Sus scrofa: one gene and its partners. The protein of the gene in region 3 interacts with the protein of the main gene of each other region in a pairwise test. Links are inferred from orthologs where the notes say so. Each region holds a gene or a part of one and is shown on either strand. Other genes may lie near its edges. The genes, in order: PIN1, RPL9, CCDC184, STX11, PBLD and GPANK1.

Region 1 (4,884 bases), on a different chromosome or scaffold from region 3:
TCCCTCCTGACCCATCCACATACGTGCCCCAGGACCCTACTTAATGATACTAAGGTCAAGGAGCAATGTGAATGAGATCTGAGGAGCCACCACCGTCCCCCCACCTCCCCTCCATGCTCTGTCTCACCTCACTGAATTTTCACAATGTCCCCTGGAGTATATGATGATGCCCATTTTACAGAAGTGAAAACTGAGCCTCAAGAAAGTGCTCTGAATCTCCCAAAGTCAAGAAGCTTACTGGGGTATAGCTACCATCTGAACCCAGGTCTGCTAGCCCCAAGGCTGGGTCCACCCCCCACCTACCCTGACTCACCATCAATTACCTGCTGGACAGGAAAAGAAGGGGCAGCCATGTGAGCCAGACTCATGCCATGAGCAGGCATTTTCAGGTCAGCCAAGGCCCCACCTGACAGCTGAGCTGGTGAGCCTGGCATGATTCCTACAAGGCCTGCTCTGGCCCCCGGGGGGAGAGGGACCCCCCCAGCCCTGTCTCCATCCCTGCTTACCGTTGATCAGCTCCAGAGCCTCCTCCTTAGTCCGGGTGATCTTCTCCTGCCGCCAGGATGAGGGCCGCCGGGACTGGCTGTGCTTGACCAGCAGATGCGAACAGCGGACCCTGGTGGGCTCTCCTTGTCCATTTTTGCTGCCGCCACTGCTGTTGCCACTTGGCCGCTCCCACTGGCTGGCATTAGTGATGTGATTGAAGTAGTACACCCGGCCTGGAAGAGGTGGAAGTGGAATTCAGCTGGGACCTGCTCACAGGACACCACTGGGAAGCCATGATCAGGGGCTGGCTGACGAACTACCTTTCATTCAGCAAGTCCCCAGTGCCACCAGGCCTTAGGGAGCTAGCATTCTAGCTGGGGACACAGACACCAAAGAAGCAAATGAGACCACCTTACAACTTCAGTCATTAATAAGGTCAAGGGGGGAGTGCAGGATTTTTGAGCACTAGCTAGTCTCAGACTACTTGTACTGCCTTACAATAAATGCTACACTTTCTTTCACCACCAAAAAAAAAAAAAAAAAAAAAAAAAGTTCAAGGGGGAAAATAACTGAAGGTTAGGAAGAGAGGAAGCCTCAGGGACAGAGAATGGTTCCAAGCATGCATTCAGCAAGGCCGGTCCAAATCTGTGGCTCCACCACACCCTCACATGTGATCTACCTTCCCGGGGCCGTGGTTTTCTCGCCTATAAAATGAAAATAAGGACAGTACCTGCCTGAAGGAGTGACTGTATGAATTCACATCTGCAAAGTACTTAGGACAGCACCTGGCACACTTAATTAAGAGTGTAGGAGGAGTTCCCGTCATAGCTCAGCGCTAATGAAGCAGACTAGCATCCATGAGAACTTGATCCCTGGCCTCGCTCAGTGGGTTAAGGATCCAGCGGTGCCGTGAGCTGTGGTGTAGGTCACAAATGTGGGTCAGATATAGCATTGCTGTGGCTGTGGCATAGGCTAGCAGCTGTAGCTCCAATTTGACCCCAAGCCAGGGAACTTCCATATGCCATGGGTATGGCCCTAAAAAGACAAAAAAAAAAAAAAAAAAAAAAGACTGTGGCAGCTACTAATATCTCCATGTTATAGACCACAAAACTAAGCAACCTTCCCTGGGTATTTACTCTGCTCCAGGCATAAAAGCCGGGGGTGGGGTGTGGTGGGGGAGATAGCAGGATCTGTACTCAGGTGTGCCAGATGCCAAAACTCTGCTCTTTTCCCCTCTGGAGTGCACTGTGCAGCAGAACTAGGGGCCAGCATTACTGGGGGCCAGATGTTACCCAGAGACTAAGGAGCATGGAGTGAGGGCTGCAAACAAGAAACCTGAGGCCACTCTCTGGCCTTTTGAGATAATATTCTGTCTAAAGAATGTGCATCTTCCAGGCTGCTCTCACCTTCTGAGACGGCCCACACTGTATCAATAAATCTACTTCTTATCTAAGGAAAAAAAAGAAAGAAACTTAAAGTAGGACCCAGTAGAGATAGGCTGTCATTCCAGGGGCCGAGTTTGTCTGGGTTATATGGAGGACTTCTGCCCAAGACCGTGAAGGGCTGGATGTCACCCAGGAGGAAGACTGTCAGGGTTGAGCTGAGCAGAAATGGCAGGAGTGGAGGCCCAGAACTGAGAAGAGCATCAGCTTTTTTGCTGCAGGTCCCAGCCACAGGGCTGCAAGCAGGGTGGGCCAGAGCTGAGCCAAACAATGCCTCTAAAACCTTGGCAATGGGTTCCATCTCCCTGAACCTGAGTGTACTCATCTGAAAAGTGAGGGCAAGGTGAGAGAATAAAGATATAACACTTCATGGGGTTAATGTGGAGAGTCCATCATGATGAGTGCAAAGTGCTCGACAGAGCTCCTGGCGTTCAATAAATTGGAATTATTACTGTGACCATGATGATTATGAGCTATGGAGGCAGGGGAGTGAAATGGTGGGCCTGCATCTCAGAGGTTTACAGTAACAAGGGCAGGGGGCTCTGGAGTTAGACTGGTATCTAACCCAGCCCCCAGCCCCTGAAATGAACGACTATGGGCGAGTTTCTTAAGTTTTCTGGCCTCGGTTTCCTCACCGGCAAACTGGGTGTTATTAACTACCCTACCTCTCAGAGTTGTGGCCAGAGTACACACTTAACACCCTTAGCACAATACTTGGCACTGAGATAAGACCTATTATTAACATTATTATGGGGGAAAAGCCCTAATCGGCTCCGAGCACAGAGACTATTCTCAGGCAGATAACCTGAATTCTCACATTATAGCAAACTCAGAATTCGGTGTGGATGGCAGGCACGTTAGCAGGAGGTTTAGGATTCGAAGCCAAGCAACACCCTGGGGCCACGCCCTGAGCATGGTGTTGGGGTGTCCTTCCCCAGGGGTGCCCCTTGGGCCCAGCAGGGTGCAAAGACATCCCCCCCCACCCCCGCCGGATGTCAGGTGCATTAGGCTGAAAGATGTCAGCAAGATCGGCAGGACCAAGGCCATTGCCTGGGGGAGCGCCGCGGGTACACTGTCCCCCTACCACCCAGGCAGCGCGCCGGGCCTCTCCGACCCAGTCCCTTGCCTCAATTTCCTCGGGTTCCCAGCTCCTCAGGCTCGCAGCCCCGGGGAGGGCCGGGGCCGTTACCCAGGGACAACGCGAAGGAGCCAAGACCCCACGGGAATCGAGCGGCCGCCCGCGTCCGAGGGACAAGCTAGAGCCCTGCTTCCATGGGCCCACACGGCCCCGCCCCAGCCCCGACCCCCGCTGCACCTGAGCTGCGGCTCATGCGCTTCTCCCAGCCGGGTGGCAGTTTCTCTTCGTCCGCCATCTTCCCTCCTGCGGCAGAGCCCGCTCCACCTCCGCCGCACCGCCTCTGCCGCCCGTGCCCGCCCACCACCGCCGCCGATTGGCTGGCCCCGTCACGCCCCGGGGCATGGCGACGACACTCATTGGGAACCCTAACTGTCCGGATTGACTCTCTGGCTTCCTATTGAGCAGAAGAAGGAATAGGCGGAGCTTCACATATTTCACCAGGGCTGGGCCTTCTTGAGGGCCTCACCCAAGCCCCGCCCTCCCCCTTTCCTCGGCCCCTAAGTGGTGGGAAAAGGACCTGAGCCCGCCTAATAACGCCCTTTGGCGAACTTCAAAGAAGTTTCGACCCCGCCTTTGCGTCCTTCGCTGCAGAGCCCATTCGATTGGCCAATGCCGCAGCAATTCCCGCCTTCTTAAGCCTACCCCCAGCCGGCGCCCCCACGTGGAAGTGCCTGGCTGGTGTGAGGGTAACCGCCGCAGAGGAGGTTCTTGGAAAAGGCACGCTGCCTTTGCTGTTACCATAGCAACCCAGTTACCTTGGTGATGAACAGCTAAGAACCCAGAAGCCTAAATTTGGCTTCTCCACCCTCCCTCTTCCCACCTGTTCCTTCCACATGCCCAAAGCTAGCCCACCTCCTTTTAGTTTTGTGTAAGTCTCTTTCCCTATGCTACTTACCTAGACACCTTCCACTTCCTTTAGAATCTACTTTACTTCACTTATTCCCTCACAGTCTGGCTCCTGTCTCCATCCTGGGTGACTGGTAGGTGTTGGCATTGCCATTCAGATGGGGACAAGGGGGAAGGTGCAGGTGGGAAGATGAGGAACTCAGTTTTGAGTCAGTTTAAACTTAAGTCTGGCACATGTGGGACACACCAAGGAGGTGGTTGGAGACCTAGGGCTGGAGACAAACATGGGAGTCAAAACACCAACAGGGAAGAGTTCACTTACAGTTCATCTATAGCACAGGCACTTACGTAACCGCTGAAAAGAATGAGGCTCAGTGACATGAAACGCAGAGGAACACGTCTATGACAAATTACAGAGGTAGGATGCTGTAGGTTAAGAGCATTCAGGAGTCAGATTGCTTTGGGTTCAAAGCCTAGCTCTACCATTTGCTATTACCTTGAACAAATTACTTAACCTCTGCACTTCAGCTTCTCCATCTGTGAAATGAGTTTAAGAGATAATACATATCGTAAATACCTTTGATATAAAGATTAAATGAGTTAATAATCTATATAAAGCACTCAAAAGCAGTATCTGGTCTTAGCAAGGATATATGCTGCTCAGTGGAAAAAAAAGTCATTGTACAGTGTAGCAATTATAGAATGTATGAAAGCATAACAAAACCAAAAAAAAAAAAATTCAGCAAATAAAGGTTAATTTGAAAGAATGACATCACTTACAGAAAGATATCAAAGCTTTAAAAAGGCCTTAAAAAGCAAGCTGCTGAACGGTATGAATGTTATTAGAGTATGCATACTTAGTTGTGTAAAAACTGCAGTTTTATATCACAGAAAATTTCTGGATTCATTCAAATATATTAATGACTAACTTAAGCTCTAATGTAACATTTTGATTCTTTTTTACAAGCACAT
Region 2 (5,173 bases), on a different chromosome or scaffold from region 3:
AAAAAACATTTATATCTGTTAGGTTGTCTGCCTCTCTGCACCTGGACAAAGACAAGGAAATACCTGGAAATTACCAATGGAGAGTTAACTCTGCACCTGTGCTATTCACAGTAACCTCTCCACTTTTTATCATTAGCTGATCTTATTTAAGGTAAGGGATCAGGATCAGCCATTTCAGCACTCACTCAGTTTCCCTGGTTCTCTCCGTTGCATACACATTATTAAACTTTGATTTCTCTTCCTCACATAGCATTCGTTGTCTTTTTTTTTTTTTTTTTTTTTTGGTCTATTTTTGCTTTTTCTAGGGCTGCTCCCACGGCATATGGGGTTCCCAGGCTAGGGGTCTAATTGGAGCTGTAGCTGCCAGTCTATGCCAGAGCCACAGCAACACGAGATCTGAGCCGAGTCTGCAACCTACACTACAGCTCTTGGCAATGCCAGATCCTTAACCCACTGAGCAAGGCCAGGGATAGAACCCACAACCTCATGGTTAACCACTGAGCCACGACGGGAACTCCCATCATTGTCATTTTTTTAAACTATCACCCACACCAAAGCTTCACAGCAATTTTATTTATTTTTTGCTTTTTATGGCTGCACCTGCCAGTCTACACCACAGCCACAGCAACGCCAGATCCTTAACCCACTGAGCAAGGCCAGGGATAGAACCCACATCCTCATGGACACTAGTTCGGTCTGTAACTGCTGAATCACAAAGGGAACTCCCTCAGAACAATTTTAAATACATTTGTTTCTGTCTCCTCAATGGACTGCAAAGCTCCTAAGGAAGCAGATATTTTACTACCTCCTTTGCCCGTGGTGAACAATGCTAGCCTCCTATTAAAGTATAACTCTAAAGCCCTTCATCTTGGGCATTAGGCTAACATACTGAATTACTATGGTATGCCAGAGGGCCAGAATTGAGAATATCAAGACACCACCGCCGCCCCCCGCAAACAAAGACTGGAAACACAAGGGGAGACATGGCCTGAAAGGCTTATAATGGAGTTGCGTACAGGGTGCCGCTATCAGATTGCGCTCTAGAAAGGCTGAAACAGAAACACTCCAGCAAATATCCAGAATCAACTTTACCTTAAAGACTGAAAGCTCAGAAATAAGACTTAATCTTTCCCTAATTCCCACAAGATACCCTGGTGGTGAGAGGCATAAGACAAGAAACCAACCATTCTATGTGTTAACATTTTCTATTAAAAACCCCCCTGAAATTGTGAATGTTATCTTTCGGGTAAAACAAATATATATATAATCAGCGTATTATCAAGACCATCTGGTCTAGACTTATGTATCTCCCTTTATCATAAGACCCAGGAATACCTAACACATTTGCCAAGATCACCTTTTCCAAAATACTACAGCCGCTAAGTTATATGCAAGTATAAGTTACTCGCACAAAGTATTTTCTACAATAGACATTTATGTTGCATACATAAAGATAGCTGACAAACCTCCCCCTTCTAAGACAAGAAGTCTGATTAATCTGCTTACCAGTGTAACACCCTTGATCATATTCTGTACATGACTACAGATGGTGCGAACAGTTGCCAGTTCCTTTCTATTTCCCCACCATTTGTCAACCCGGAGCTGTAACAGAACAAAAACTTCAGAAAATTCTTTCCAGTATTAAGTAGCCTTGAAATAAGGTCCATTTATCCACAGTAATTACTCTAGATTCTAGTATTTGTCCTAATTACAAAAAAAAAAAGCAACCACAAAGCCCTCAGCAATTAACGGTTTTTGTTACTATACATTAGAAGTATACACTTTCACAGAGGAACAACCCAGAAAGTTTTGTACAAGTTGCATCAAACTTCACTTCTGGAAAGCTAAAATACCAGGTTCAAAAGAACTCTGCTGCACCACTATGATCCTTACAAAACAATCAAGAAAAATAAACCCAATTTCTAACAGTATTAAGGCCTGCTATTTAATAAATATTACCAGTACTGAGGTTTATAACCCAGTTTACTTTGGTTTTCCAATTTCACTAAAGCACCGACAACAAAAAAAAAAACTAGTTACAATTTTGGACACTAAATTATAAGATAAAACATTGAACCTCAATTCCATAATTTCTCAAAAGTTTTTATTTCTTCTATTATGGTTGACTTACAACATTCCATCAACTTCTGCTTTAAAGTCACTCATTCATACATATAAATATTCATTCCTTTTCTCACATTATCCTCCTTCATGTTCCATCACAAGTGACTGTAGTTCCCTATGCTGTACAGCAGGATCTCATTGCTTATCCACTCCAAATGCAATGTTTGCATCTACTAACCCCAAACTCCCAGTCCATCCCACTCCCTCCGCCTAGACTAGAACAGACTAGAACCAATAGTCTGTTCCCCAAGTCCAAGAGTTTCTTTTCTGTAGGTAAATTCTTTGGTGCTGTTAGACTCCAGAGAAAAAATTATCCATCAAATGGTATGTCTTTCTCTAACGTACCTCACTTGGTATGAGTCTCTATTCCATCCATGTTGCTGCTCAATTCTGTAGTTTTTAAAACAACTTGATATTCTTAAATTACAACTTTCCAAACAAACTGAGGTGATTAAACAAAACTCACCCTCTTCTTTTTCTTTCCAAGGAGACTGAGTTCTACATTGATGTGGTTGAAGTCCCTCCTCAGAGTGCCTCTGGGGCCCTTCACAATGACTGTGCGTCCTTTTAGTGTGATGTCGACTATGAAAGAAACATACTCGTGAGGCATCGAAACAAATTAGAACGCACGCAGTAAAAACATATGAAAAAAGCAAGCACCAAGTCTCCTACCATTTTCTGGAATGTCGACAGTCTGATTGCTGAGAATGGTCTTCATTCTGAAACACAAACACTTGGGTAAGAAGGTCGCACAGGATTTGTTTTGGGCCGAACTACCTTGCACAGAACTCCACTCCTACCAGAGACCGGCAGGCAAAAATCTCGGGGAGGATACAGAGGACTAATCCCGGAAACGGCCCCAGCTGCGCCTTGGCTTGGAAGGAGCAGCTCCTAAACAGTTATTAAAAACCCAGCGGGCGAACTCCCGGTCAGCGCAGCTCTGGGAAGTCCTATCAAGTCGGCGCCATCCCGGCAAGGCTGAAGGGCGGCAGTAGGCCTAAAAGCCCAATACAAGGCTCGAACCCCATCGCCACCAGACTCATATGACGCTCGCCGCGCAGGGAGACAAACAAGACACGGTTTCCGAGGGCCACACCCGCACCTCTGGCTTTCCCAAAGCCGATGCCTTCAGATTCCCAAGGCCCACCGAATACAGAATCCACCTTACCTCGCAGTAGATGCGGCAAAGAGAGAGCGTCTTTCGTCATCACGCTTTTGTAGTACGTAAGGGTCCTGCGTATGGCGTCATAAGCGCGCGACACCACGAGGCTAAAGCAGCCAATCGTAGAGCAGCGCAGGTTCCACCGGGTCAGTGTTGGCTCAGGTTGTTTGTCATAAGTGGAGCGACGGTGTGTCCTTCTCTTTTCCCGGGAATTAGTGATTGTTCCTCCCTGCCAGAAAAAAAAAGTGCAGGATGGCTCTACGCTGCCGGGGCGCCGTCCGCACTGTATGCCCCCGGGTGAGCGGCGGGGCGAAAAGGGAGCGGGCGTGGGGTGGGGGTTCCCATCCCTGAAAGTGCCCGATAATGCCAGCGCTTACCCGGCGTTTACTTCTAGCCAGGTACTGTTCTAAACATTTTTCGTATAGCGTCTCATTTAATTCTGACATGGTCATGAAGTTAAGACCTGATACTGGTTTTTTTGTAAGTCTGTGGCCCGCGCTCTGAGACCTTTTTTCCTGCTATCAATGCAATGATTTGTACTCTTGTATTTATTGGAGCACTATAGAAGCGCTGCAATGAAACTCCAAATTACTACTTGGTGTTGGTGTCTCCTGTGTACTAGACACCACTTTGGGCGATTAAAACCCAAGTCTGTGCTCCAGGCTTGAGCGAGAGACCTGGGCAAGTACAGTAGCTATCGTGCAGCATCCTAATAGGCACTCTTTTTTTTTTTTTTTTTTTTTTTTAATAGTTGAAGGTTCTTTTGCTTTAACAGTACTACCTCTTGAATTTTATGGTGTTTTGTCTGTCTTGTACATGTATGTGTTCAAATCTAGAAACCGATGGCTTCTTATGGTCAACAAATACATGAGTGACTTCCTTGTTCACACACAGTATAACCAAGAAAATTAAAACATTAGGTTTAGTTTCCCTTCTTCCACTTCTCTGAAATCAGCTGAGAACTACCTCCGTGTTTTAGCAGGTATTCTTATTCAAGCCCAAAGCAGAGAGATTAATTTCAAATTTCATTTAAACATACTTGACTCAAGTCAGGAATAGAAAATTCAAAGCTGTAGCTCCCATTCTCCTTTGGGTTTGGTTTGTTCTCCTTGGGTCATCTTTAATTTCAGATTCTGAGCTCCTTACATTGAGCTCGTAAATAGATTAACATAATTTCTGAATCAGTTCTGTGGCTTTACCCATCCTTTTAGGTATTAAACGAGTTTAATACTAAGTTATTCCAAAGCCCCCTAAATAAATGTCACAATGAACTCTTTCTGTAGGTATTTGGAAGATATTTATGCAGTCCAGTCAGAGCAATAAGTTCCTTGCCAGATAAAAAAAAGGAATTTTTACAGAATGGACCAGACCTTCAAGATTTTCTATCTGGTGATCTTGCAGACAAGAGCACCTGGGATGACTATAAAGGAAACCTAAAACGCCAGAAAGGAGAAAGGTAATTGAAATTTTGAGGTAATTTTAATGTCCTATTCCTTCATTGTGCATTATTTTCTGATATTACCAAGCCATAGGGTATATTTTTAATCAGACTTATTTGATTTAAAATTATTTAAAAACCATTAGAAAGAAGTGAAAGCAGACATGGAGCAGGTAAATGGGTGAAATTGTTGGAGTACTTTTCTTCGTGCCCTCTGACAGTTTTTCTCCAACATTCTTAGGACTTAGCCATCCTACACCCTCTCCAATTTGCCATCTAGCAACCAGTTTCTTCTGAGAGCAAAGATAATCACCTTGCTACTACTCCATTAGATTTTAATAAGTTTTTCGTTGTTACAGGACGTTGATGATCTAGCTTGTTGCTTCTCCTAGTCAGTGTACATGTGATCTATGGATAATTTAAAAGAATGGTGAGAAAGTTTGTGATGA
Region 3 (5,086 bases):
AATTATGTTAGAAGAAAGCTTCTAGAAACTTCCCTAGGTAATTGTGTTTTGCCAGAGGAGACAGTCGCCATCATCACCCCTATCCTGAGAGAACTATACAAAAACTAACATTTGCACAAAACTTCCCGAGGGGCTTAGATATTTTTCTCCCCAACAAATTTTGTCCCCATTTTACACAAGCAGAAACTAAGTCTCAAGCAAGAGACCAAGTCTCAAGCAGTCATTTACTGCTGGAACTGAGATTCAGTCCCAGAGCTCTTTCCATCTCTCTGTAGCAAGCAGCAGGAAGAACACACACACACACACACACACACACACACGCACGCACGCACGCACGCACGCACGTGCGGCACCCCAGCTCATTCTTCTCCCAAATTTTGTTCAGGGAAGTCTTCGGAAATCTCCAATGCCCAAGGGAGCAGACTAGAGTTGATGTCACTATAAGCTCCGGGGAACACCTTACCGGCATTCTCCACTAGAGGCCTGAGGCAGTTATTGTGTTTCCTTTGTGATGTGTCACTATTGCCAGAGATCCCAGGGCAATCCCTCATGAGCAATCCCCCTCCCTAGCCCTCCCATGGAACAGATGTCTGCCTACCATTGCAGGTCTCAGATTTGGAAATCATATCCCAGAGGCCAAGTGCTTCACTGAAGAGAAGTCAACTGAATGTCTGGAGTCTAGCTACTAAAAATCCTTGTTAGTTTGGGAGTCTCAAAACATACCCTCTCCCTCTTCAGTCCAGCTTGAAGTCAAGGTCCAGGATGGAAGGGAAAGCAGGTAGAGTTGGCAATGCATATACCGACCAGGGTAAGGACAGTCAACTCCTTGGAACCCGAGGCGAGAATAGAGGAGGGAAAGCCTGGTTCCTATAGTTCCCACTAAGTCTTTGTCCATGCAGTGGGTCCAGAAGCCCCACCCTGACATTGCCTTAGTACCAGTCAGCAAGGAGGGGAGATGACGCCTCTTTATTCAGGTTAACACCAAGGAAAGCATCGAGAAGGAATACACAGAGGAGGAGGAAGGGCACACAAAGTCACCACTTGAGGAGGTGGGAGGGAGGCGCATCAGTTAGGAACCTCAGGACAGCCACATGCTCCATGCCCTGGTTGTGGAGGAAAAGAGGAGAGGAAAGGGGACAGCGCCATGAGAGCCTGGGGCTCACAGAAGGGTCTGAAGCCCCCTGAACCTAACACCAGAGCCACAAGCCCTGCCCCTCAGGGCTCACACACTACTACACAGGTCGACACACATAACACACACAAGACATTATGGAGGTAACACCGAGAGGCGGCGGGCAGGGACGTATTGACAGGAAAAGGAACTGAAGTTAAGCGGGTATAGCCAGGAGAGAGACAGTTTTTGGCTGCAGCCCCCAAGAGTCCCTCAAATGTCCCCTAAATCTGGGCTGTTGCTGAGCACCCTCAAGTCTGTGCCTGTGAACTGGGCTCTTTGTTCTCTAAGCCCCAGTGAATGGATAAAACAATCCCAGATGAAGTCAGTGACAAGGCAGGATCCGCTCTGCATGCAAAATCCTAGATGTTGAGCTATTATGTCTTCATGTACATTCATAGCCAGCTCCTCCCAGCCCAGGGGCCCTTGGAACCCCATTCACCCAGTTTCCTAGGGCTGCAGTTCCCTCCTCAAGCTTCCTTTACCAATCAGCAGCCGCAGAGATCTGTGAGGGGGAGAGGCTTCTGCAGAACGCTGAATAGCTTGGATTTCATCAGAAGGGTAAATTTTCTGTTGCCAGAACAGAATACCCTCAATTCCTTAACTTCTAGGTAAATCGTTAGAGATTATTTGCCATAGTCCTAGATAAGTCCTTTTTCAGAATAGAAAAGCAGAATTTTATTTACACAGTTCAGGGGTTCTCCTGTTGGCTGGGGAGGGGAAAAGGGCAGGGTAGGGGATTGGATGGGAGTCCAGAGATGGGCGCTTCCTCTCCCGGAATCTCACCTTTCCGCAGTTTGCTGCATCTCGCTTGGTTGGGCAGAAAGAATTCTTGATGCTCCCAAAGTCCTTTACCCTATAAATCCTTCCTCGAGGGAGTCTCTTCTGCTTGACCAACAAGAGCAGCGTGAAGCATGTTGCACCGCGCCGTTCAGTCCCCTCACGTCATGCACTCGGAAACCCAAAGCCAGTCCGGGAAAATAGAGCCCCCTCGGAGTCCCCTCACAGAGAGGCCTCGGCCTCCAGCTGCAGCAGGGTAATGTCGGGCAGATCGAGGGGCTCCACAAGTGGCCCGTCCCCCCCAAGGTGGCCAGCACAGGGGCTCTCGGGGCGCTCACAGTGACTAGTGGGTGTGGCGGAGCTGGGCATCTCCTTCTCCTCTTCATCGTCGTCCTCCTCGTCTTCAGGATCGCGACCCAGCAAACCGCTGTCCCCGATCCCAAGCGAAGGGGTCTCCCGCTCTTGGGGGGCGCCGGGGAAGCTCCCCTTGCCGCCGACCACGCCCAGGCCACCCTGGCGGGGCGCGGTGGTCATAATCCGGCACATGGAGACGATGGCTCGCTGGTTGGCGCACACGTCGTCCGAGAGCACCTGGATGTGCGAGGCCTGCTCGTCCAGGGCCCCCCGCATGGCCCTCACGTCCTCAAACAGGGCCTGCAGCTGGGCTTTCAGGTGCTCCATCAGTTCCTTCATGCCGCCGTTGTACTCCCCGGAGATCACGTCCCCCACCGCCGGCACGGTGGACACCTCCAGAGGTGCGGGCATGTCTCCGCCGTCCTTGGTCATGATCTCCAGCAGACCGTCCTCCATTGAATGGCAGAAGCGGGTGATGGCTGCTCCGGGTCCGGTCCAGCCCGGCCTCGGGGTGGGGGAGGGTACGGGGAGGGGGAGAGGTGCCCAGAGGGCGGGGAGGAGCCGAGGAAAGAGGAGACTCTTGAGAGGGGCGGGGAGCCGACGTGAGGAGGTGAGTCCCGGGCAGAGGGCACAGGCAGGATCGGGGCAGGCCGGGAAGAGCCGGCGGGACGCGGACCCGGTTACAGTCCCAGGGCCGGCGTCTCTCCGGCTCGCACAGGGGCGAACGCTCCCTGCCCTGCCTCGCCTCCCGAATTGCACCCGAATCAGCGCCGCCCTCTGGGCGCTAAGGACGGCAAGTAGTCGCCCTTTCCCGGGGTCACAGAAGCGCCTGTGGTGGGACCCAGGTCGAGGCCGAGGCCAGCAAAGGGTCGAGCTCGGGACTCCCCCCAGTCATAACCAGCTGGCTCGCGAGTGTGGTTGGAGTGACGGGGCGGGTCTCCCAGCCGCGCCACGGATGCTCCTCTGTTTCCAAGGCGACGCACGGCACGTAAATGACGTGTGTCTCCATGGCAACCAGGAAGTGGAAAAGAAAAGGGAGGATGGCTGGGAAGCTGCAGTGGGGCTCTAGAGTCTCAGCTAGCGGGTGGGGGCGGGTAGGGTGGGGATGCTGCAGAGGCTTCAGCTGAGGCTGAAAGAGCGTGTGGCCGCAGTGTTTAATAGGGAAGCATGAGAGAGCAGTTTGCTGCCTAAGTCCCCAGGTCGGGGGAGACGTAGTCCCTCTCCTGGCCTGGGTGGTAGACACTGAGCGCTACTGCCTTGGAAGGATTTTCACTCGCCCGCAATCTTTTCTCTGAGGATGGCGCTAGAGCCAGGTCTGCTTCTTTGTCCTCCAGCAGGAAAACAGAGAGGATAGTGAGGCCGATGCTATTAATCCCAGACTTGAGTTGGAGCGCTGCGCCGCTTTGGAGCCGGCCCCGCCAGCCTTAGCGGTGCGGAGGCGCAGGCTGTCACTACAGAGGTTTCCGCCACTTCGTTTTGTTTCTGCAATAAATCAGCCCTCGCCGTAGATAGTTCAGGAGCTGAGAAAAGATGGGATTCCCTCCCATATGAGACCCAGCCGCTTCTACCCAGGGCACTGGGAGTTCTAGGGTGGTGAGGCAAAGCGCTTCAGTTTTGAGAAAGACAGCTGCGTTAAGAGCAGAGATTTCTGTCTCCTCTGTGTCCTCTAGCACGGAATCCCCAGCACCTAAAATAGTACCTGGGGCGTAGTAAATAATGCTCAATATGTTTGTTGAATGAATACTTTACAAGAACTGCTGTGTACCATACCTTCATCCAGAACTCTCTAGCTCACAAGTAGTGGATTTTAGGAACCTGAGTGCAATTTCGTTTCTGTCATTTATTAATTCAGAGACCTTGAGTAAATCACTTTCCTGATCTGTTAGGGGATTGGACTGGGTATGGAGTAACATTATTGTATTGAGTAACATCATTGAGTTACTCATAATATTGAGTAACATTATTTCTAACTCTGAGTAACACTTTGCATCAGCTTACAGATGAAAGTGTGAACTGTTGACAATGTGTGGAAGGGATGAATGAGGGGACTATGTACCCTTAATTCCTTCTCAGCAGGCCCTGCACCCATGTACAGACATGCACTGAGTGTCTCAACCTTTGTAACAATGCATTGCCCTTTTTGAAGAGTGGAGTGGGAAGCAGGGAGGAGGAAGAACAATTAAATTTAATACATTTACAGATGACTTCGACTGAGAAGACAACAGCACCTGGGCAGCAGCATACTAACTAATAATGACCTCAGTACATTGGAAAAGCCAAGTGGTCAGAAACCAAAATGAAATTCACAAGAAATAAACCTGGAGAAGAGAAAAGCTGTATCACTTCAAGATGGGGAAGAGCTAGGTATGGGTAAGTGTTTCATATACTAGTGGTTCAGTGATAGCAAATGTGTTACCTTTGTTGCATTCTCTGGTGATGAGGAGTGGGGCTGGCCCAGAGAAACTGTAAAGAGCTGTTTAGCTTATTCCATGTCTTACTGCTATTAAAATGGGGAAATATCCTAAACAGCAGAATGTTTAATCTAAGGCATTATTGGTATAACAAAGTATTATGCAGCCATTAGAAATTCAACTTCTCAAAACAAATATTTTTTTGTTTTTAAACCTTCAGTATTTAAACCTTCAGTATTGCATTTTCTAAGATTCAATCCTATTTGCTTGCTCATTCTGTCCTTCCTTCATTCCACAAATTTGTGACTCTCACCTTAGTTATCACTCCCACCTCTACTGTGTGCCCCAATAAGTTATTCCTAAAGCTCAG
Region 4 (3,353 bases), on a different chromosome or scaffold from region 3:
ACCCAGAGAGTAGGGTCTGATTTTGTGTTCTTAATTGCTATGCCACACCTGATAGTTACTAAAAAGCAGGAAGAAAAATTCTTGCCTTTTCATAGCCAACAGTTCACTAATTCTGGTATATTAAAGTTTTTACCTAATTCTCCAATGAGAAATGTGGGCAATTAAAAAATACACAGAGCCAGCAAACTCTTTGACTTTTATGAATGGCTCTAAATGCAGAAAATGCTTTATGGGTTGAATTCATCAACTATTCTCTTTTGTGGAAACTAGCTGATGGACTATATTTACAAAATCTCTTGCCTCTTATCAAAGACAGAGCAATGAATCTGTTTGAAGATTTTTTTTTAGAGAAAGGGAATTAAGTCAAAGGTGAAACACATCTCTGGAATTAGCTGAGAAAGAAATGAGAGAAATCTGAGAAAAGCCTAGTGGGACTTGGTTTCCACAATTCTCATATTTAACCATGAAATTAAAATTAGGAGCAGGGCTAGATTTCACAGTCATAAGCAGGCTAGTCAGTGAGTTCCAAAGAGTTCACATACTCTTCTTTCTATTTCTATTAAAGTTTCACTGTCTGAAAACTCTGGGAATAACGACCATTGAATAAACTCTCGTTTATTAAATAGCGAGTGGAAAGAGTTAAGAGTTGACTTAAAGACAGAAAACATGGTAAATGTGAGTCAGGGCATTACAAAGTTTGCAAACAAAACCAGATCTCCAAAACAGGATGATTTTGTTAAACTATTGTAAATAACTCAGGAGAGAAAGCAACACACCCCCATGTGAATTAATTTTCATTTCCCCCCTCTATTCAGAGTTTCATCCAGATGTTGCAACCTCAGGCAGCTAGTAGACAATAATTGAAAAAGTAGACTAAGATTTAAATGGTCAAGACACAAATGCATAAAAAAGGATGTTTATAATGTGTTTATTCCACTAACTTGAAAAACAGGATTCTTTTATTTTAAATTACCACATTTGAATGCATGAAAGGAATGGGCCACAGTAAAACAAAAGTAATTACTTTTAAGACCATTTTTATTATCTCTAGTTTTGTATGCATTTTCAGAATTTTATCTGTCTTTATCACCATAACCAAGACAGAGATGTTCAAAACCAAGTTTTGACCCAAACTGGACTACTGAGATGCAGATGAAACAAGCAAATCAACACTAATAACCAGTAAAAATATTTTCCTGGATATTTATATACCATATTTACAAAAGTAAAGTTAAACCAATTGGTATTATGTACATGCATTAGTAAATATTTGTACTTTACATTTATATATATATGCATTTGTAAAAATCAAGTAAAAAGAAATTTTAAATTATTTTTATTTATGAAAAATATATATAATGTGACATACAAACTTTAATTTGAGTGCTTGTTCAATACTCAGTGCTTAAAAACATTTGGAAAAAAATCTCCAAATATATTCTGATAGAATATAAAGAGTTGAGGAAACAGTGATACTTGTGATTTAAACAAGTAGAGGAGGTGAGCAGAAAGAAGATACACATCCATGTGGGAATCACATAGCATAAACCAGATAAAGAGTAAGAAAAGGAAGATGTGCAGTTTTTCCCAAGGTCAATTTCACTCGAAAATGAATAGAACCAAGGTACTTTCAGGACAGGGTAAATGAATTGAAGTTTTAATAACCAGTCCTTACACAATGGGCTGATGCACAATTTGACTTCCTCCTAGAGGTTCATGAGCAAACGTGCCTTGGACATTTACCGTAGAGTACACTACAATGTCAGTTCCTCATTTGGCTTCCGTTAAGAGGCGAGGGTGTTTATGTGCCATATAATGATCTCACAAAATTTCAGGAGGTATCTGTCCTTACTGAAGAAACAATGGGGTGACATGTACCCTCTTTCCAAGTTCGAGCTGGGCTGGAATTCTTGGACCTTGAGTGTTTTCTTTCTCTAAAGAGCGAGGTCCATAGGCATTAGAGCAACTCATCCCAGTGCAAATGGCCTCAACATCTTTCCCAGGGTGCTTACTAGCCCTTTCAGGTCTGGGATCAGGTGTTGCAGGCCTGCTAGTTCAGGCAGGGGCAGCAGAAGCAGCAGATGGTCCGGCAGGGATTCTTCTTTTTGTACTGCACCGCCTTGCGCACCTGCACCTTGGCCTGGCCGGTGTAGTCAAGGGTCTTCTGCACGTTGAACTCGATGACGTCCAAGGTGTCAGCCTGCTGCTCCACCAGCATGGCCATCTGCAGGAAGAGGTCATGCAGGTCGCGGATGCGGCTCTCCAGCCGCAGCATCTCGCGGTGGCGGTTCTCGATCTCATTGAGGGCCGCCCGCGCGCCCTTCACATCAGCCAGCAGGTTCTCGGAGAACACGTCCCATTTGCCTTGTTCGAACATGTCCTCTATCTGGTTGCTCGAGACATCCTTGCCCATGATCTCCAGCTGGCGCTGGATGCGGATCTTACAGTTTTCGCGCTGCTTCATCTCGGCCTGGTTGTACTCGTGCATGGCAGCCTGGAAGGTGCGGGCGAGCGCGCTGTACTGCGCCTGCGCGATGCGCGCCACAGCCGAGTGCTCACCGTGCTTTGCCTGCGCCTCCTCGCTCAGCGCCTTCATGGCGCTCAGCTTGCGGTGGATGCTCTCACCCCGGGCCTTGATGTCCTTGGCAATCGAGTTGGTGTCACGCTTGATGCTGCTGAGACGCCGCATGGACGTGAGGAAGCGGGCGTTCTGCTTTCCCAGCCGCTTCACGTCAGTAAACAGCTGCTGGTTTTCATCCTGAAGCTCCTGGATGTCTCGGTACAAGGATTCCAGGATGTGGTCCGTCTCAAACACGATGTCCTCGTGAGGTGAGTCAAAGTCATCGTCCTTTTCTGGGAACTGCTGGTCATAGTGCTTGGTTAACTCCAAAAGTTCTACTAGCCGGTCCTTCATTTTGCCTGCAAGTAGAGATACTGAGGTTAAATTCCTCTAGGGAGAGTCAAATATTTTGCGTTGAGGGAATTGAAGATTAAAATAAACATTCTGCTTACTGCTTAGCACTCCAGATTCTTTACTCTTGGGTATAGGTAATAAACGCGGTAAAGGAGTTAAATGTCCCATGACATTTTTCTTATGAGTATAAAGGACTAATGTGACTAAGAGTCATGAACACATTTGTATTTTACAGCTGGTAGGTAGGAATCTGCAGTTCAATAGTAGAGGTGCCCAGAATACAATCAGCAATTTCAAATTTTAGAGTGCTTTGGGAACCCAACTCTTTTTCTTCCTTTACATGCTTCATAATCGCAAATCAAAACACATCAGCGAAAGGAAAAATAAGAAGAGAAGACTGGCAAAGATAATGATTGTTGAATATGGACAGCCAATTTAC
Region 5 (4,377 bases), on a different chromosome or scaffold from region 3:
AAATAAATAAATAAATAAAAAGGTGTAGAAACTCTAGACTAAACCCAGGCATGCCTTGAGCCCTCATGTCTGAAGTCTCACCCACGCCCCAGTCTTTTGAAGCCCTGTCTTTAGCAACCCCCTGAGTGTGCCATAGCACCCCAGTGTCTGCTGTACGTACGCCTGAACCACAGATGGGTGCAAGTGCTCATTATCTTTTCATGAAAGGAGGAGCCTGGTTCCCCAGTTAGAGCTCCTTGAGGGCCCTATAAGCTCGCTCCCTCTCTAATCTCCTTTGCAGCCTGCCCCTGCCAGCTCTCCACCCTTCCAGCTTTCAGCACCGTGTCTTCTACACAGGAGGCAGCAAATTGCTTTTTACCAACCATGTCAGACTACTGAGCAGCAGATCTGACCCACAGGCTGGGAGTTCAATCCCAGCTGGGCACCTAGCTTTCAGAATCCTTGGGAGCGACAGCAAGGGGGATTCCCACCCTGAAAAGAACTTGAGAAGAGGCAAGTTATTACTTTCCATGTTTAGCTTTACTACTACTCTAATACACATATAGTTTTTCATTTTCTTGGCTTTTTATTTATTTAGTTACATCTTGATTTTTATTTATTAAACATGAGTGTGTTCCCAGTAAAGGAAATGATTTTTTAAATACCTTAAAATTACTTCCAATCTTACCCCCCAGATACACATGAACTCTTTTCACTTTTGTATCTTCATGTTCCATCCTCGCCCATAGAAATTCATATCCTCCACAGACACAGCATAACGTTGCTAACATTTAATAGTCTACCGTAGTTTTCTTTCTTGGTATTATACCATGAAATATTTTTCTATATTTCCACATAGTTTTGGGATGTTTTTCTTTTTTGGACACGCCCAAGGCATGTGGAAGTTGCCAGGCCAGGGATCGAACTCATGCCACAGCAGTGAATCAAGTCACAGCAGAAACAATGCTGGGTCTTTAACCCACTAGGCCACCAGTCCTAAGGGACCTTTTTAAAAATAGGCTGCAAAATAGTCTATCAAGTATTCACACCTAAGCTTAAATGGTTCGATCTTGTTCCTCATATATTTGTTCCTCATTCCAGGAGGGGTGATCATAAGCAAAGGTGACGATATTATTCTTGGGTACTGGGTACAATATTATTCTTGGTTACTGGGTACTTACATTTCAAATACACTCACAAGTAGAGCCAAACTCCATTAGTTAATCATTCAGGAAGCATTATTAAATCTCCATTAACATGTCTTCATCATTCTCTTTGCAATGTGGATTAACTAGACTACCATGCAAGCTTGCTTAAGGCAGCCCCTTAAGCTGAAAATACTTAGTAATTTAAGATAGCAATATCACAGCACAACCACCTCTAGGCTGTCAGCGTGCCCTCTAAAACCAGAGCAGCGCCTCCCTTGATGTCCACTCGTCCATCAGGACGCAGTGAAATCTTCAGTTCTCCTCCCCGGCTGGAACACTGAAAAGCTAAAAAAAAAAAAAAACATAAAATGATTCACAAATTAAGACTGTTTTCACCTTTTACTTTTTTTGCCACACCCGTGGCACATGGAAGTTTCCAGGATCAAACAGGCACCACGGATGTTCCGATTATGGTTCCGCGGTAATGAACCTGACTAGTATCCATGAGGATGCAGGTTCGACCCCTGGCCTCACTCAGCAGGTTAAGAAGCCAGCATTGTTGTGAGCTGCTATGGAGGCTGCAGACGCGGATTGGGTCTGGCGTTGCTGTGGCTGTGGCGTAAGCTGGCAGCTGCAGTTCCAGTTAGACCTTTAGCCTGGGAGCCTTCATATGTTGCAGGCACAGCTGTTAAAAAGCAAACAAAAACCAAATAAATCAACAAGCCAAACAGAAATACATAGATACAGAGAACAGAGAGTGGTTACCAGAGGGGAAGGGGCAAGGAAGGGCAGGGGGATCAAAATGGATAAAGGGGATCAACTGTACAGTAAAGGTCTGATAATAGATTTTTGGTGGTGAGCATATTGTAGGGTAGACAAAAGCAGAAATACAATCTACACATAAAACATAAAATCAATGTTATCTCAATAAAAATCAATTCATTAAAAAAATTTTTTAAAGAATGTACCCCTTCATTTGCTCATGGTATTGCCTAGCCCATCCTGTTTTGAGGACTGAGAAGCCACACATGAGATTTGATCAGCAAAATACAACTCCACATCTTCCCTCCCTGGGCCACTTCTTCTATAAGTTTCTATAATGCCCCAAACACACCCCACCCATAGTTTCCTCCTTGGCTCTGCCTAGCAATAAGCAAAGACATGTGAAAAGATAAAGGCTAGGACTAAAAGTCTCAGAAGATAAAGGGGGGTGCTCTTGGCGCTACAGAGAGGACCCCATCTTCCCAGGTCTGAATAGGACAAAGGGAGTTCATTCACTCATGGTTGTTATCAAACAACCACATGGGTGAGGCAAACATAATGCACAGCTTCAGCCTTCTGGGAGCTTAGGGGAGTGATAAGGCTCATTAAAGAAAGAGAACAGCCAGAGTTCCTGCTATGGCTCAGTGGAAAGGAATCTGACTAGCATCCATGAGGACATAGGTTCAATCCCTGGCCTCACTCAGTGAGTTAAGGATCTGGCATTGGTGTAGGTCACAGATGCAGCTCGGACATCCTATTGCTGTGGCTGTGGCATAGGCCATCGGCTACAGCCCCTATTCGAACCCTAGCCTGGGAACCTCCATATGCAAAGGGTTCAGCCCTAAAAAGACAAAGAAAGGAAGGAAGGAAGGAAGAAAGGAAGAAAACAGCCACCCTGCTATCCCCAAATCAGGGTCACAGAGGCTTAACCAGCCCACTAAGTAAGACCCCCATTCTTTAAGGTCAAACTCCCACTTTGATTATGTAACTTGTACCACATACAGGCTACTAGCTGTGTAGCCACCATTGGCTGCCATCTATTTTCTCTGCCTTGAATGATACATTAATCACTAGGAGACTTGGTTCCAAAGCAATTTGCTTGATTTAATCCCATAACTACCAATGTCAGTAAGGAACCTTGGTAATCATTCAGTCTCGGCTTGTCACATTATAAACAGTCTTTCTGGGAGTTCCTTGGTGGCTCAGTGGGTTAAGGATCTGGTGTTTTCACTGCTATGGCTTGGGTTTGATCCCTGGCCCAGGAACTTCTGCATGCCTCGGGCACTGCCAAATAAATAAATAAACAAATAACCTTTCCGGGCCAAAATTACACAGCCAGTTAACCTTATTCAACAAATATTTATTGGGCACTTACTGTATTAGAAGTGTGTCTGTGTGTTGGGAGAGACAGAGGTGGAAGATGTTTGGGGTGGAGGATGTTTTGAGTAGAAGGTTCAGAGTGAAGGAATTAAAAACTTTTTGCTTTCATGTGGGTGATAGTTAATATTTTATTACATCTTCAAGTGCGCAGTACATATGAGAAGGAATACTAGCTTAAAGTTAAGCAAAAAATTTTTTTTAATTTGAAAAAGAGCTATCTTACCATGCATGTCTTTCTTCCCCAGGTGCTGGGACCAGTAGCTGCTGAGAACAGTATGCGCAGACCCTTAAAAGAAGTGAAAAGTTATAGTACAATCCCAAAGAAAACAGGGGTAACCTTGTGGTATATTCACAATCAACCAACTCTCCAGCTTGACCGCAGACGACTTAGCCATTATGTTGGCTGTGACCACAAAAGAGTGTGGAATTATGAATGGAAATAGAAAGGAAGAAAGAATTTGTGGATAAGCTCCTTCCAAAGATGTATCCGCTGTGTCTAATACCTTCTGAAGACTGAATTAAATTGCAGGTTTTCATTCTTGTCTGGTCTGCCAGTTCATTGTCAGCCCATAGTAGGAGACTCAAGGTCTTCACATAAATCCGTCTGCATCTTTCAAGAGAAAATATCTCCTTCCTCCTAAGACACACATGCAAGGAAAGCTAGGGAACTTTGACAAAAGGCCAATTTTTCCACCAAGCCCACATTCCAGGTTTTTGGTGCCAAAAGAAATTTAAGTGAGGTTTTTTTTTTTTTTTTTTCACTTGATTCCTCATGATTTCTAGGTTTAGATCAGAGAATAGATATTAAAATGAAATAAAATAGAAAGTAATAACTGACGGGAAAGTCTTTGGGAGAGAAAAGGATGGTTCAGATAAAGTCCATCCTTCAGGAAAACTTACTAAATGTTCTTGGTGCCCAAGCATCCCAGTGTGCCTGAGACAGTCCTGGGTTAACCCTGAAGATCCATCCTATGTGCTAAGCCCCTCAGTCTCAAGAAAACTGAGATGGTTGGTCACCACTGTCCAAAGACCTTCCCACTATAGAAAAGCATCATTACAGGGAGAGAAGCTTGCCCTCTGTGCTAATTAAAATCTTTGTGAAGCAGCT
Region 6 (5,066 bases), on a different chromosome or scaffold from region 3:
GTTCAGGGGCCCAAGTTCAGGTTTCAGCCGCAAACCAGGGTCAGACCTTGCTGAGGTCAGAATTCAAGATTCATGTATGTCCTCAGATCCCGCTCCCAGGCTCTGTCCTTCTCCTCCTGCCTTCTCTTCTCCTTCTGGTTCAGTGTGGTCAATCTAGGGACTCTCTCCCTCCCTGCCACCGCCCGTGTATCCCAAGCTGAGAAATGTGTAACTCGGGGTTGGGCTGCTGATCTATAGCCTAATCCTTCCTGGTCCCTTTTGAGGACAGTGGGGATGGGGTTGGCACGGCCTTGACCTTGGGGTCCCAGTCCCTTTCCAGGCTCCCAACCCCCCCTTAGGAGAAGCTTAAAGCCTGGGCTGGAGGTAGGCACCCCAAGGGGCAGGTTGGGGGGCTGGAGATCCCGGGACAGTGAGAGCAGGTGAGCGGTGGATGTACGGTGGTTAGAGTCTTGGAAGTGGGCATCACAGGTCTCACAGTACTGGGGGGAGAGGGATCGGGGCCTGCAAAGAAAAAAGAATGGTTAAGGGCAACACAAGGATTGAGGCCTCAGGAGGGTGGCAGGGTTAGGTCCTTCCTGTATTTCTGCTGAGGAACAAATTGCCTTCCTCCCCACTTCATGATAAGAGACCCAAAAGGGAATAGTTGAGCCAACAGATGTTAAAAAGGCTTCACAAAGTTCTTGGGTGATGAAAAATAACAATAGTGACCATAGCTAGTGTTGGTATAGTGCTTAGTATGGGACAGGTGCTTTTCTAGCACTTTACATATATTAACCTATTTGACCCTAACAACCCTAAGAGAAAGGTGCTTTTATTGCTCCATTTCTTAGATGAGGAAACTGAGGCACATGGGTTAGGTTGCTTGCCCACGTAAGTACAGTCAGGATTTAAACCCAAGGAGCCCATGCAATGTGGGAATATAGCAAATATACGTGAACTATACTTCAATTAAAAAACTTAAAATTTTTTTTGTCTTTTTTAGGGCCACACCTGCGGCATGTGGAAGTCCCCAGACTAGGGGCCAAATCAGAGCTGTAGCTGCTGGCCTATGCTACAACCACAGCCATGTGAGATCCGAGCCTCATGTGAGATCTACACCACACGACAATGCCAAGATCTTAACCCACTGAGGTCAGGGACTGAACCCTCGTCCTCATGGATACTAGTTGGGTTTGTTACCACTGAGCCGCAATGGGAACTACCCCAATTTTTTTTTTAATGAAAAAAATGTTTTATATAAAAAATAATCCAAGGGAGTATCCTGTTCATAATCACACTGCCCGATCAGCCTACATTAGGGAACAGGAAAGTAAACCCTTTGGCTCTATTCTGTGGCCTCCTGTGTGAAGTGTGAGGAAGGGCAGAACACAATGAAAGATAAGGCTTCCCCTTACCGGTTCTCTGGACTCCTTGTCTCTCCGGGGCTCTCTCTGACCATGCGGGCCACTTCAGGGAAGCCTGCTTCTTCCGCCAGCTGAGCAGCATCCCTGCCACCCAGCTCGCAGACCCCCACCCAGGCCGCCCCACGGCCCAGGAGATAGCGCACAGCTGCCCCCTGGCCTGCTCGGGCAGCACACATCAGTGGGGTCCACCAGAAAGCATCTCGAGCGTTGATATTCCCTCCAGCTCCCCCTGCCTCATGGGGATCCAACAGCTTTTTCAGTTTTGCCAGGTCCCCCTCCTGGGCTGCCCTCAGTATCTGCTGGGTCATCTTGTCCTCTGCCTCAAGGGATCTCCTTTGTCCATCTTCTCCTGATGCTCCTGCTGTAGTCTCCCTCATCGTTCGTCTTTTCTTCCTCTTTCTAGCAGGCTCAGGCTGAGATCTCTGGGGCTCAGGGGTGCTGTCCTCGTCCCCAATCAAAGCTTCATAGAAAGCCCGGGCTGCAGCCCCATCCAGGGTGGGCTCCAGCTCTTCAGGGTGTGACTGCAGTTGCCCATCTTTCCAGAGATCACTGGGGTCAGTGGCTGGGGTAAAGTTAATGAGGGAGGACCCGGACATGGCTTTGGGGAGAGTTGGGAAAATGAGATTAGGCAGGGGGAAGCCAAGTCCCAGATGGTCCTGCAATGACCAGAATCACCTACAGACACCTGCTGGGATAAAAACAAGTATCCTTAGAATCAAAAATCCCCTCCCGGGAGTTCCCTTCGTGGCTCAGTGGTTAACAAACCTGATTAGATTCGATCCCTGGCCTCAGATCAGTGGGTTAAGGATCCGGCGTTGCTGTGAGCTGTGGTGTAGGTTGCAGACACGGCTGGATCCTGCGTTGCTGTGGCTGTGGTGTAGGCCAGCAGCTGTAGCTCCAATTCCATTTCTAGCCTGGGAGCCTCCATATGCCACCGGTGCAGCCCTAAAGACAAAAACAAACAAAAACCCTCCTACGCGGAAAGTGAACCCCGAGGACCACGGATTGTGTAAAAATAGGAAACCCTATGGTAACAGACCATGCCCCTTAGTAAAGGTTAACAAAGTAGACTCTGTAAGACAGTTGCCCAGAAGTCCTGTGCTCTGCCCCCACTCCATCCTCACCATCAATAATAACAGCCTTTCTCTGAAACTACTTTACAACTGCGCGGGACATACCATTAAGGAAAACAATCAGCCTGGCTCTTTAAATCTTCCTGGATCCTATTTCGGGGTATTCTTAAACAAAAACAGACTTGACATTTGTCCGGAAGCAGGAAGCCGATTCGCGGGGAGGTTCCACTCGTTGCTTTGCAGCTTCCGTACTGCAAAATGGCGCTACTCTAAGCAAAGGCGTCCACAGTCAAAGCCGCATGCGCAGCTGAATGGGGAGCGGGCGGGGGACAAACAAAAACAATACTGGAGCACGCAGGCGCGCTGCTCCGGGCTATTTCCCGCCCTGGAATCTTTCCAATAACACAAGCGCAAAACGCCACGTGCCCTGGTAGCGCGAGGATCGAGAAATATCTGTCGGTTGGGGTCCTGCTTTTACCTAACGCCCCCACAATGCTCTTCGCCTCCCTCAACGTGGCCCCCGCTCCAAGCTCATTTTCTGGACCTGGGAAACCACCCTCTGGGTTAAGAAAGGCCCTGAGGCGGAGAATGCCCAGAAGCCGTGAAATGAAATAGTCACGCAGCCCCTCACCATTAATCTGACCAGGGTTGGAAGGTCGCACTTAGCACCCGCAGCAGAAGGCCCTGTTCAAGCCTTAAAAGGAAATGGAGAAGTGCAAGGGGACGAGCAACAGAATGGCTGGCGCCACCTCAGGTTAGCGCACGGGACCTTCCCGATTCTCACACCTCTCAGCTCAGCCAGCACACCCTACCCAGGTCCCTCAGCGCGGAACCCGGCCTCACCTCCCACCTCAGGAGATCAAACCCTTGAGTGAAATATGGGCCCCGTTGAGGGTCTCCTTGGCAGGCTGACTCGGACAGGGGGGCTCCACAAGCGATAAGGGCCAGGCAGCTGGTCGGTGATGAGGTCAATGGTCTGGGTAGCAGGGCCGCACGCCTGAGGCTCGTTGTGTGAGAGGGAGCGGCAGTAAATGATCCAGCCTGTCTTGTTCCTTTCCCCGCCCCCTCTCAGCCCCACGGTGATAAGATCACTCGACTATATTTCCCAGGCTCCCTGGCCCAGAACACGGTACTGCGTTTCCGCTTCCGGTGGCGGCTCCCTACGCCCCGCCCCGGAGCGTTTCCCTCAGGGGCCTCGCGACACCAGGGTCGTGGGCGGGTCGTCCTGGGATTCGTAGTTCGCCCTTTCTCAGTTGCGCCAGTTTCTAGCTTCCGAGGACTCCATCTCCCGGCGTTCACCGCGGCGCACGATTTTAAGCGCTTGCGCGTTGCCCTCTTCCCCACCCTCCCCAGTTTCCACTCCCCCCGCCCCACTTCGCCTGCCGCGGTTGGATCCGCGGCCTGCGTTGTAGCCGTCGCCGCGGTTCCTTGGAAGCAGAAACTCCCCTCCCCTCCCCGCCCCCCCGGTCCCAGTCCCCGTCCAGCCGGTGAGTCTGAGGTCGTTGCCGCGCCGCGTCCCCTGTTCCTGGGCGCGGCACAAGGGGTCTCCGTGCCTTGATGTGGGGGTGGGGAAGGAAGTGACCAGGTCCGGGACCGAAGGAAGGAGGGGGTGGTCTGAAGGATGGAGGCGGGATAAGGAGACTCCCGTGAAAGGGACCTAACTGCCATCCCCAGACTTTGAGAAAAAGAGGAGCTTAGCTCTTGCCTGGAAAGAAACTTCGGAAACCTTGGGAATGGGGCCGGGGACAAACGGAGACTTGCGGGGGTAGGGAATCTGAGCCGCAGGCCCTGCTGGAGTTGACATAGAGGAGAGAGGGGCCTGGCCTTGGGGAGCGTTAGGGATGTGGATAGGACTAATGGGTCAAGACCTGCCGGTTACACACAAGTGTTGGGACCCCAGAGAATTTCCTGTCTCTGAAAAAAGGGGTTGAGGTGTGAATAGGAGGAGCTGGAGAGAACTGCTCCAGTCTAGGATCCTTTAAGAAAGGGTGGCCCTAAATTCTTCTGTGGTTGGAGGGCAAAGTGTGGGAAGAGGGAGGATATCAGAGGCAGGGAGGAGAGCTTAGGCTGACACTCTTCTTTTTCTAGCTGAAGTGAAGATGAGCAGCTCAGAGGAGGTGTCCTGGATTTCCTGGTTCTGTGGGCTCCGTGGCAATGAATTCTTCTGTGAAGTGAGTTCTTAACCTCCTTGTCCCTTTCCACATATAATCTGGCCAGGCATTCTCTCGCATAGTATATATTCAGTTTCTAGATACTTGTTTTACAGTCTTCCGTAAAAACCCTTTCACGTTAAGAAAGAGTCTCCTTAGTAATTCTCTCACTAACTCATACTGAAGGCAAGACTGGGCCTCAGGTTGACCCTGCCACCCTCCAGCAATGTAATGTTGGACTCATCAACCCATGTTTTTATTACCACAGTGCTACCGGTAGCACCTGTTTCTGGTAGCTATTAGGAGAATTAAGACACCTCACGTTAAAATGTTTTGTAACGTGCAGAGCTGTGTGTTAACATAAGGGATTGTGAGCGCCTTCAGAACCCAAGCTGTTCAGCCTCCACCTTCCTCAGCAAGCCAGCTGCCCCTAAGGAGAG

The links.
Region 1: the proteins of CCDC184 (region 3) and PIN1 interact in binary tests that used the Homo sapiens proteins (3 or more experiments, as listed by UniProt). The two-hybrid records come from large-scale screens. The link is inferred for Sus scrofa from reciprocal best matches to the Homo sapiens genes CCDC184 and PIN1.
Region 2: the proteins of CCDC184 (region 3) and RPL9 interact in binary tests that used the Homo sapiens proteins (3 or more experiments, as listed by UniProt). The two-hybrid records come from large-scale screens. The link is inferred for Sus scrofa from reciprocal best matches to the Homo sapiens genes CCDC184 and RPL9.
Region 4: the proteins of CCDC184 (region 3) and STX11 interact in binary tests that used the Homo sapiens proteins (3 or more experiments, as listed by UniProt). The two-hybrid records come from large-scale screens. The link is inferred for Sus scrofa from reciprocal best matches to the Homo sapiens genes CCDC184 and STX11.
Region 5: the proteins of CCDC184 (region 3) and PBLD interact in binary tests that used the Homo sapiens proteins (3 or more experiments, as listed by UniProt). The two-hybrid records come from large-scale screens. The link is inferred for Sus scrofa from reciprocal best matches to the Homo sapiens genes CCDC184 and PBLD.
Region 6: the proteins of CCDC184 (region 3) and GPANK1 interact in binary tests that used the Homo sapiens proteins (3 or more experiments, as listed by UniProt). The two-hybrid records come from large-scale screens. The link is inferred for Sus scrofa from reciprocal best matches to the Homo sapiens genes CCDC184 and GPANK1.

Annotation. Positions count from the first base shown.
Region 1 is NC_010444.4:68,714,370-68,719,253, reverse strand, and holds the start of PIN1 (peptidyl-prolyl cis-trans isomerase NIMA-interacting 1), read right to left. Parts: upstream 3,357-4,884; 5' UTR 3,302-3,356; coding exon 3,244-3,301; intron 720-3,243; coding exon 507-719; intron 1-506. UniProt on the Homo sapiens protein: Peptidyl-prolyl cis/trans isomerase (PPIase) that binds to and isomerizes specific phosphorylated Ser/Thr-Pro (pSer/Thr-Pro) motifs.
Region 2 is NC_010450.4:30,695,875-30,701,047, forward strand, and holds the start of RPL9 (60S ribosomal protein L9), read right to left. Parts: upstream 3,316-5,173; 5' UTR 3,293-3,315; exon of another isoform or gene 3,227-3,292; intron 2,844-3,226; 5' UTR 2,843-2,843; coding exon 2,797-2,842; intron 2,707-2,796; coding exon 2,591-2,706; intron 1,603-2,590; coding exon 1,507-1,602; intron 250-1,506; exon of another isoform or gene 1-249. Other genes in the region: LIAS (lipoyl synthase, mitochondrial), read left to right, coding at 3,574-3,684, 4,570-4,742.
Region 3 is NC_010447.5:78,559,375-78,564,460, reverse strand, and holds CCDC184 (coiled-coil domain-containing protein 184), read right to left. Parts: upstream 3,290-5,086; 5' UTR 2,762-3,289; coding exon 2,174-2,761; 3' UTR 948-2,173; downstream 1-947.
Region 4 is NC_010443.5:21,126,962-21,130,314, forward strand, and holds the end of STX11 (syntaxin-11), read right to left. Parts: intron 2,920-3,353; coding exon 2,051-2,919; 3' UTR 910-2,050; downstream 1-909. UniProt on the Homo sapiens protein: SNARE that acts to regulate protein transport between late endosomes and the trans-Golgi network.
Region 5 is NC_010456.5:71,442,350-71,446,726, forward strand, and holds the end of PBLD (phenazine biosynthesis-like domain-containing protein), read right to left. Parts: intron 3,556-4,377; coding exon 3,493-3,555; intron 1,473-3,492; coding exon 1,360-1,472; 3' UTR 501-1,359; downstream 1-500.
Region 6 is NC_010449.5:23,777,240-23,782,305, forward strand, and holds the start of GPANK1 (G patch domain and ankyrin repeat-containing protein 1), read right to left. Parts: upstream 3,108-5,066; 5' UTR 2,582-3,107; exon of another isoform or gene 2,169-2,581; intron 2,092-2,168; exon of another isoform or gene 2,089-2,091; 5' UTR 2,000-2,088; coding exon 1,395-1,999; intron 502-1,394; coding exon 57-501; 3' UTR 1-56.